Neurospora crassa OR74A: one gene and its partner. The protein of the gene in region 1 interacts with the protein of each later gene in a pairwise test. Links are inferred from orthologs where the notes say so. Each region holds a gene or a part of one and is shown on either strand. Other genes may lie near its edges. The genes, in order: NCU07839 and NCU03092.

Evidence for each region.
Region 2: the proteins of NCU07839 (region 1) and NCU03092 interact in a protein complementation assay, tested with the Saccharomyces cerevisiae proteins (2 studies listed by BioGRID). The link is inferred for Neurospora crassa OR74A from reciprocal best matches to the Saccharomyces cerevisiae genes DBP2 and NSR1.

What each region holds. Positions count from the first base shown.
Region 1 is NC_026503.1:1,035,910-1,040,499, forward strand, and holds the start of NCU07839 (ATP-dependent RNA helicase dbp-2), read left to right. Parts: upstream 1-1,559; 5' UTR 1,560-2,263; coding exon 2,264-2,379; intron 2,380-2,517; coding exon 2,518-3,737; intron 3,738-4,257; coding exon 4,258-4,386; intron 4,387-4,449; coding exon 4,450-4,590. Other genes in the region: NCU07838 (hypothetical protein), read left to right, coding at 667-842, 1,179-1,230. UniProt on the Saccharomyces cerevisiae protein: ATP-dependent RNA helicase involved nonsense-mediated mRNA decay and ribosome biogenesis through rRNA processing. Associates directly with chromatin, correlating with transcriptional activity.
Region 2 is NC_026501.1:4,517,891-4,522,184, reverse strand, and holds NCU03092 (nuclear localization sequence binding protein), read left to right. Parts: upstream 1-1,223; 5' UTR 1,224-1,459; coding exon 1,460-1,819; intron 1,820-1,879; coding exon 1,880-2,475; intron 2,476-2,537; coding exon 2,538-2,868; 3' UTR 2,869-3,714; downstream 3,715-4,294. Other genes in the region: nuo12.3 (NADH:ubiquinone oxidoreductase 12.3kD subunit), read right to left, coding at 361-449, 574-799. UniProt on the Saccharomyces cerevisiae protein: Involved in pre-rRNA processing. Specifically binds nuclear localization sequences. Candidate for a receptor at the nucleus that may be involved in both RNA and protein transport. Binds telomeric sequences of the type (TG[1-3])n in vitro.

The DNA of each region.
Region 1 (4,590 bases):
TAATCAATCGCGTGAATAAATGGCTGTAAAGATTTGGTAACCAACAGACTTAAGGTGCTCTTCACGCTCCAGTATTAATAGTGACTTTTCGCTGCCTTTATCAAATGCACAAACCTCAACTTGAACATGATATCGAGCACGTCTGACAGCGATGTGCAAGCCCAAGAGACTGGAGCCGGAGCCGGACTGAGACTCGGCAATGTTGTCACTCCGGATGCAGTTTCCAATGCCGGCAATGCAACCGATCGGGCGCCACCACCGCTCTCACCAGGAGACTATACAGTGTACAACCGACTAGACGAGCGAATGGACTACTTTGTCTGTGCTCATCCTTTCCTGCACTCTATTCCTCGATATCAGATTGAAGTACAATCACTGTCGCTCGGTGTGGAATACGCTCGACACAGCTTGTACCTGTGACAACGGTAGTCAAGGCACAGCAGCACTGACTGAGCGACAACCCATAGAATGCGGGCTCCGTCACTCGCTACCTAAAAGCTCACCAATCCATCAAAGACTTGCATGGTTTCCTTATAGCAAAGCAAATGCCTCAATTGAGAGCTGCCATCAAGGCCCATAATCGTCAACGTCGTCATCATTATCAGCAGCAGCATCAGCATCGTAAGCGAAACGGAAGAAGAGTATCAGGGGGGGCCAAAGGAGGACATGGAAGAAGCAGCGAACCATGATTTAATCCAGCAACACCGTACCATTCACTTGGGCATGGAGCAGTTCGAAAAGGACCTGAAGAATTGCAGGAGCAAAGAGAAAGCGTTTAGTCTGCTGGTGCTGGAGCGTTTGGATCAGGAGGTGGAGGAGTTGGGGCGGAGAGGAGAAGATGAGTAAGTTTTGGGAGTTTGGAGGGGACGGAGAGATTGCTGTTGTCCGAAAGAAACCAAGAGGGCAAGTCAGGGAAGGGGCTTGAAGGTCGTGAGTAGTGTAGTGATCGAAAAATGTTTCAGGACATGGAAGTGGTGGTTTGTGTTGAGAGAATGTGGCTGATGGTGGTGGACTAGACCAGGCGGTGGTGATGGATTTATTGCCACTCTTTGTGTACGCAGTAGTGTACATCCTGGTCGGCTGCGGAACGGACTGGAAGTTGCTGCTCCCAAAGTCTTCAGATGAGGTGGGAGATGGATGGCAATATGAGGCCTAAGTACGGCTGTATACACGTGTAGAAACATGCTAGCATCGAGCATGGACATGTATGTGAACAGGCAACTCCTATAGAATGTGGTCAAGATTACAGATTCTCTTTTCCGTTCCCTGACAGCTGAGGTGAGCGACGACGGATGATTGCCCAACAACCGCGACGCGCAGCAAAGACTGCCAAGCATAATCCGCCAGTGAAGCAAGAACGAGAACCCTTCTGGCAAAGCGGAGTCGGTGAACCAGGTGACGCCAATTCCCGCAAAGGTGGACTTCTGCCTGATTGATAAGGCCACACATGCCTTATCGGCGCTTTATCTGTGCTTATCTGTGCTTGTCAACAGTGAAAGAATGCAGGCCCGCCAAGTGTTGCCAGTCGGGTCCAGTTTTTTTTTTCTCTGGTGCCAGACCGCCCCTACATGGAAGTCTGGGGGACAGGTACGGCAATGCCCGGTCCCCTCAAATCCGCCTTCGCTGTAACGACTGCAGTGAACTGAAGGGAAGGGAAGAAAAAAAAAATATTTTTCTGGGGCACTTGCACGCAAGGGACGCGTTGCGCCTTCCGCCTCCAACAAAAAGAAAGACTTTTTCTTCCCGCTTGGAGGCGAGTCGGGTCTGGCACAGGATCCGCATCTCACATCCACTAGCACTGCACAGCGGAACCCACCAATCCTCCATCGACATCTCCCTTTGGTCAGGTTCTTTTCCCATACTAACCTTACGTGACGGGTCCTTGTCCAGTGCCCCCAGAGTTTTTTTCGTTTCGACTTCCGTCCAGAAAAACTTGCACTTCACCCTTCGCAGCAGCCCTTTTCTTCCTTCCTTCCACCCACCCTCCATCTCCAATATCCCTTCCCGCCTACTTCTTGCGATTCTGCAAGATTCTTCATCCGCGATCCTTCTTTAACCAGTCGGACTGCTTACTTGTAACCACTTCACGCGTGTCGTTTGGTTCTTGTCTCTAGACGTCTGTCTTTTCCGACGTCTTCTTTTCCCGACAATCGATACCCTTGCGCCTCTAGGCCTTGTTTGCTCGTCGTTTCGGTCTACCCTTCAGCAACCCCAATAACAACCGATCTTCAATTTTCAACCTTTTCTTAAACAACCAGCAAACATGTCCGGATCTTACGGCGGCGGCGGCTACGGTGGCCGCGGTGGCGGTGGTGGTGGATATTCTAACGGGTACGATCGCAATGGCGGCGGCTACTCTAACAACTACTCCTCACACGGGTATGATGTTTTAGCGCGAACCTGCTCATTTCCTCTCTCTCTCTCTCTCTCTCTCTCTCTCTCTCTCTCTCTCTCTCTCTCTCTCTCTCTCTCTCTCTTTGCATTTCAAGATCAAATTGCTAACATCTGGTTCAACAGTGGCTCGAATGGCTACGGAGGCGGCGGCGGAGGATATGGCGGCGGTGGTGGTGGCTACGGAGGCGGCGGCTACGGTGGTGGTGGCGGCGGTGATAGGATGTCTGCTCTCGGTGCTGGTCTGCAGAAGCAGAACTGGGACATGAGCGCTCTTCCCAAGTTCGAGAAGTCCTTCTACCAAGAGCATCCTAGCGTCGCCAACCGATCTCCTGCTGAGGTCGACAAGTTCCGCGCAGACCACTCCATTGCCGTCTTCGGTAACAACGTTCCCAAGCCTGTCGAGACCTTCGACGAGGCTGGTTTCCCTCGCTACGTTATGGACGAGGTCAAGGCTCAGGGTTTCCCTGCTCCTACTGCCATTCAGTCGCAGGGCTGGCCCATGGCCCTTTCTGGTCGCGATGTCGTCGGTATTGCCGAGACCGGTTCCGGAAAGACGCTCACCTACTGCCTTCCCGCCATCGTTCACATCAACGCTCAGCCTCTCCTCGCTCCCGGCGATGGCCCTATCGTCCTCATCCTCGCCCCTACCCGTGAGTTGGCTGTCCAGATTCAGCAAGAAATCTCCAAGTTCGGCAAGTCGTCCCGCATTCGCAACACCTGCGTCTACGGTGGTGTCCCCAAGGGTCCCCAGATTCGCGATCTTTCCAGGGGAGTCGAGGTCTGTATCGCCACCCCCGGCCGTTTGATCGATATGCTCGAGTCTGGCAAGACCAACCTCCGTCGTGTCACCTACCTTGTCCTCGATGAGGCTGATCGCATGTTGGACATGGGTTTCGAGCCCCAAATTCGCAAGATCATCGGCCAGATTCGCCCTGATCGTCAGACTCTCATGTGGTCTGCTACCTGGCCCAAGGAGGTCCGCAACTTGGCCGCCGACTTCTTGACCGACTTCATCCAGGTCAACATCGGTTCCATGGATTTGGCTGCCAACCACCGTATCACCCAGATCGTCGAGGTTGTTTCCGAGTCCGAGAAGCGTGATCGCATGATCAAGCATCTTGAGAAGATTATGGAGGGCCGCGAGAACCAGAACAAGATCCTCATCTTCACCGGCACCAAGCGTGTCGCCGACGACATCACCCGCTTCCTCCGCCAGGACGGCTGGCCCGCTCTTTCCATCCACGGCGACAAGCAACAGAACGAGCGTGACTGGGTTTTGGACCAGTTCAAGACTGGCAAGAGCCCTATCATGGTTGCCACCGACGTGGCTTCTCGTGGTATCGGTATGTATCCATCTTACCCCTCCGCCCTGCCCAAACCCCTCCCCCCTTCTTCTCTCCCCCATCTCAGGCGACTTCCAGCATACGTACGTGCTTGTGCTTTACTCTTATGTCTAGGGGCTCTCTTGATTGCGCGAACTTGCCTGACCTCGTGTCGACTTGGTCTATCTGAGTGGAGTCTTGGGTTCGTGACGTAGCAGAAACAGTGGACTATGCTACGCCCGCGTGATTCTTCAATTGTACCTTTTTATCCCAGTTGTGGTACAAGCGAGGAGTAGGCATTTCTTGATTCCCGTCAAGCTTGTCTCCAAGATTCCCAAGGGGATTTGCATGCATGGCCCAAGGATCTCTGGAACCTTGGATCCCAACCCGGCATATTTTTCGCAATGGACAGCCCACCTGCCAAGGAGAGAAGTACTACCAGAGGATCACAGAACATACCTAGATATTCGTGTTCTCCGTCCGTTCTGGAATGTCGTTATTCCAAACCCTGCTATTGCTAACCACGGTCCTTTAAAAAAAGATGTGCGCAACATTACTCACGTGCTCAACTATGACTACCCCAACAACTCCGAGGATTACATCCATCGTATCGGCCGAACTGGTCGTGCCGGTGCGAAGGGTACTGCCATTACTTTCTTCACCACTGACAGTAAGTGTCACCTGAATCTGCCCATCCTTAGCCGAACGAAATTCTAATGTTATCTCTCCACAGACTCCAAGCAGGCTCGTGAGCTCGTCGGTGTGCTTCAAGAAGCTAAGCAGCAGATTGACCCTAGACTTGCCGAGATGGCTCGCTACAGTGGTGGTGGAGGTGGCCGCTTCGGTGGCTATCGCGGCCGTGGCGGCGGTGGAT
Region 2 (4,294 bases), on another chromosome or scaffold:
AACATACGTGCAGAAGAATAAATGAAAAAAATAAAAAAAATGGGAGGCCGAATTGAGTCCTGTTATTCCTCTAGTCCCCCGTGTGTCTGTTGTTGCCGAGTTCTGTTAATATTTACATGCCTGCTCGTAAGTCTCATTAAAGGGCCCGAGCACTCCTCTGGGGGTTGCTGAAGCCGAACGTCTGAAAGGGTGGTCCGCGATGTTATGGAGCCCCTTCCCGGTTCGACCATGACTGACTCGCTCTCCGGTTCTCGAGCGCACTGCCCTGCCAAAACTCTCGCTGCCCAGATCATTTCAGCCCCAAATCAGCTCGCTCCAGCTTGTACCCTCCGGTCTGCTCCCAGAATGATGGAGGAGAACTCATTGCTTTGGCTGGTTCGCGAAATGGTTCTGCTGCTCGAAAAGATAACCCTGGACACGGTTTTCGGAGAGTAGTTGGAGGTAGCGTTCTGTGTCAGAAACAAGTCAGCAAGAGAAGGGGAAAAAGCACCATCGCATGGCTGATTGCATGCAATTGCTGAATGGTTCTGCCGCCAAAGAACCACGGGAGATGGGAAGCACTCCTGTACCCACCTCTCAGATGTCCGCACTTCTCCAGATGGTTCACGCCCTCCCTATAATAGCACTTGGACAACTCCTCCCGCACCAGGCGACCCATCATAACTCGGACCCATTGCTCGCGGATAATGGCATCCTGGGCCTGCTTCAGGCGCTTCGTATCATTGTAGTCGACGCCGTCAAAGGTGGGCGGGACGGTGGGCTTCTTGGCCAGGAAGGCCGCCGATTCGGGAGTAGGCATTGCTGCTAGATGTGGGCGACTCGCGAGAGAAGACCGAAAGCACAAGTTGTCGTCAAACAAAGCTGTAGAGAGGGAGAGAGACGCAGCTTATCGTCCCGCACTTTCGTCTCGTCGATGATGCCGTTGCAACCAACACGGCGCATCTCTAAGCTCCAAGTGGTGCCCCGGTCGTATGGTGGCTCGAGCTTTACAGCACACCTGGGAAACCAGGCAGGCAGGGACGCGCTAGCCCAAATGCTGTTCGTCTTTCGGACCATGCAGTAAAGTTGCAATTGACGGGGGGTCGTGGGCCGTGGCAGGCATGGGAAGGAACTTTCAGGTGGAACGAACTTCCCCACCGCGGCTCGTGCGCGGGCCACCGCCTTCGCGTGTGTACATAACCTCCACCCGGATCCTCCACTGCCCCAGGTCCCCTGCCCCACTAGAAAGTCCCATATCAAAGTGTGATAACGATTTTTTTTTCTGCCGTAGGTTGATCAGCCAGAGATTTTACGGTACCCGCCACCCTCTGCTCCCCATTTAAACAGCAGTCTTCCCGACGAAATTTCTTTTCTTCAGACGCATCCTTTATCCCATTCATCATCTTCATCCTTCTTTTTTCTTCAATACCCTTTAGCGGATTCCATCACTTCATCACATCACTTTACAACAACCGCTATCATGGGCAAGAAGGATTCCGTCAAGGCCACCAAGGCCACCAAGGTCGCCAAGGCCGAGCCCGTCAAGGCTGCTAAGCCCGTCAAGGCCACCAAGGCTGAGAAGCCCTCCAAGAAGTCCAAGAAGGAGGAGTCCTCTTCCGAGGAGGAGGAGTCCGAGTCTGAGTCTTCTGAGGAGGAGTCCAGCGAGGATGAGTCCAGCGATGAGTCTTCCGATGAGGAGATGACCGACGCTCCTGCCGCCAAGGAGACCAAGAAGGCCGAGTCTTCCGACTCTGACTCCGATTCTGACTCTGACGACTCCGAGTCTGAGGAGACTTCCGAGGAGGAGAAGCCCGCCGTCAAGGAGGAGAAGAAGGAGAGCGTGAGTACAACATAACTTCCTCTTCATAGTATACATCTGCTAACCCACGTCTGCTTATAGTCCGATGATGAGGAGAGCGACTCCGACAACTCCGATTCCGACTCTGACTCTGACTCTTCCGAGTCCGAGGAGAAGTCTGAGTCCGAGGAGCCTTCCAAGAAGCGCAAGGCTGAGGAGTCCTCCGAGGAGGAGGAGGCTCCCAAGAAGGCCAAGACTGAGGAGGTTGCCGACGACAAGAGCACCCTCTGGGTTGGTAACCTCGGCTGGGGTATCGATGATGCTATCCTCTTGGCTGAGTTCGAGGACTGCGAGGGTGCTAAGAGCGCTCGCGTCGTCACTGACCGTGAGTCTGGCCGCTCGCGCGGTTTCGGCTACGTCGACTTTGCCACCAACGAGCAGGCGCAGAAGGCTTATGATGCCAAGAGCGGTGCTCTTCTTGAGGGCCGTGAGATGCGTCTCGACTTCGCTGCCAAGGATGCCGGCAACAAGCCCCAAGACAAGGCCGCCAACCGCGCTGCCAAGCACGGTGACACCATCTCTCCCGAGTCCGACACCCTCTTCGTCGGTAACATGCCCTTCTCCGCCGACGAGTCTGTCGTCTCCGACTTCTTCAACTCCGTCGCTTCCGTTGCCAGCCTCCGTATCCCTACTGACCAGTGAGTATCCCACTATACCTTTGTGTGCATCTTTGCCGAGCAGAGTTTTAACAGTCTTCTAGGGAGTCCGGCCGCCCCAAGGGCTTCGCCTATGTTACCTTCAACTCCGTTGAGGATGCCAAGAACGCTTTCGAGCAACTGAACGGCTCCGACCTCAATGGCCGTCCCGTCCGTCTCGACTACGCCAAGCCCCGTGACAACAACGGTGGCGGTGGTGGCTTCGGCGGCGGCCGCGGTGGTGGCCGTGGCGGTGGCCGTGGTGGTTTCGGTGGCCGTGGTGGTGGCCGTGGTGGCCGTGGTGACTTCGGTGGCCGTGGCGGTGGCCGCGGTGGCGGACGGGGTGGTTTCGGTGGCAGCCGTGGTGGCTTCCAGGGCAAGAAGACCACCTTCTAAAGTGGTCAAGTGGGATTCCCGCACACATTGGGGAATGTGATACCATAACCTGAGGGCATTGAAACACAGATTCGCACTGGAGGGCTTAGTGGGTTGTCGGCTTTTGAAATCTTACAGTGTCTCCTTCGTGGGAGATCGTGGGCTTTTTGAGAGATAACTGCTTCCCTGCTGCGTGGCAGGGAAAGCAAGCGATACCTGAGGGCTTGAAGATGGTGGTGAGCTGGTAGCTCTTTGACAGCTCGTTCGTACATGGCACGTCTGTTCTTTCTCAACAGGAAAGTTAGGACCTCTGCCGGTGGGCTTGTTGGCTGGTTCCATGACCCTTGCGCGGTCGTCTGCACTTTGGATTCGATGCATACCAGAAGAATGATGGGTTCCAAGTACTCTGTGGGCTCGTGGGCTCTTGTGGGCTTTAGCTGACAAAACGGAAGAACGGAAAAGCGAGGACCTGTACTTGCACATGCCACAAACATGTGTTCACACAGCCTTATCCAGTCTGTGCTTCGAGGGTGGTTCATCGTTTCCTGTTCTTTTCCGCATACTATTGTCATTGCTTCTTCCTGTGGGGTTACTAAAGAGGGCATCTAAAAGTTGGTTTGGGATTTTCCGGTACAATCACGGGGTCACCTGGGGGCACTTAAAATGGGTTTCGGGTCTTTTCTTTTTCTTTTTTTTTCATATCAGCATTTGCCCTTCACGATACATCATCGATGGCGTAACGGTACAGAACACGGGTGATCCTTCTTAACGAACATTACCCGGTAAGTAATCTGATACTCTTCCCCTGTTTCATATACCCAAGTCCCAACGGACTAGAAGTAGCAAGAAAGAAGTATTGTTCAGTAACTGTGTTGTTCCAATGATGTGACTTGCCGTTATGTATGTGATGTGGTATTTTGAGGCGTAGACTTGTGTGTATGTATGTCGATAGGATCTTCAAAAAACTGCTCGTTCACAAAAGTCTTGATCATTCGTCACGTGTTTCAACATGGTCACAGTTGACCGCGATAGCTCCCAAAGTGTCACGAAGCAAATCCCCAAAAAGTTGAATTCGATGAACTCGGTTCGTCTACAAGTCATCTCAACAGTCGATACACAAACAAGCCCAAACTAAAGCCAAAGTCACGCAACACCAACAAAAAAAGAACCTAGACCTGCGACCAAATCGGGTAACCAAAATAACAAGATCAAATCCGAGTCCCGAATGAAAAAGACAACCAAGATGGGAAGAAAATATGAAGAAAATATGAAAAAAATAGCAGATTAAGAAGGTTAATGATGCGTGTATGCGTATGGCTGTCCCCATGATGCCAGATATTGAAGGTAAATGTTCTGCATACAATCGTTCTCTCCTCTCTTTGCAGCATTTGTTGGGGAATATTTCCTTCCAACGTCGTCGTCCATCGACTTGGATTCTTTCCGTGAA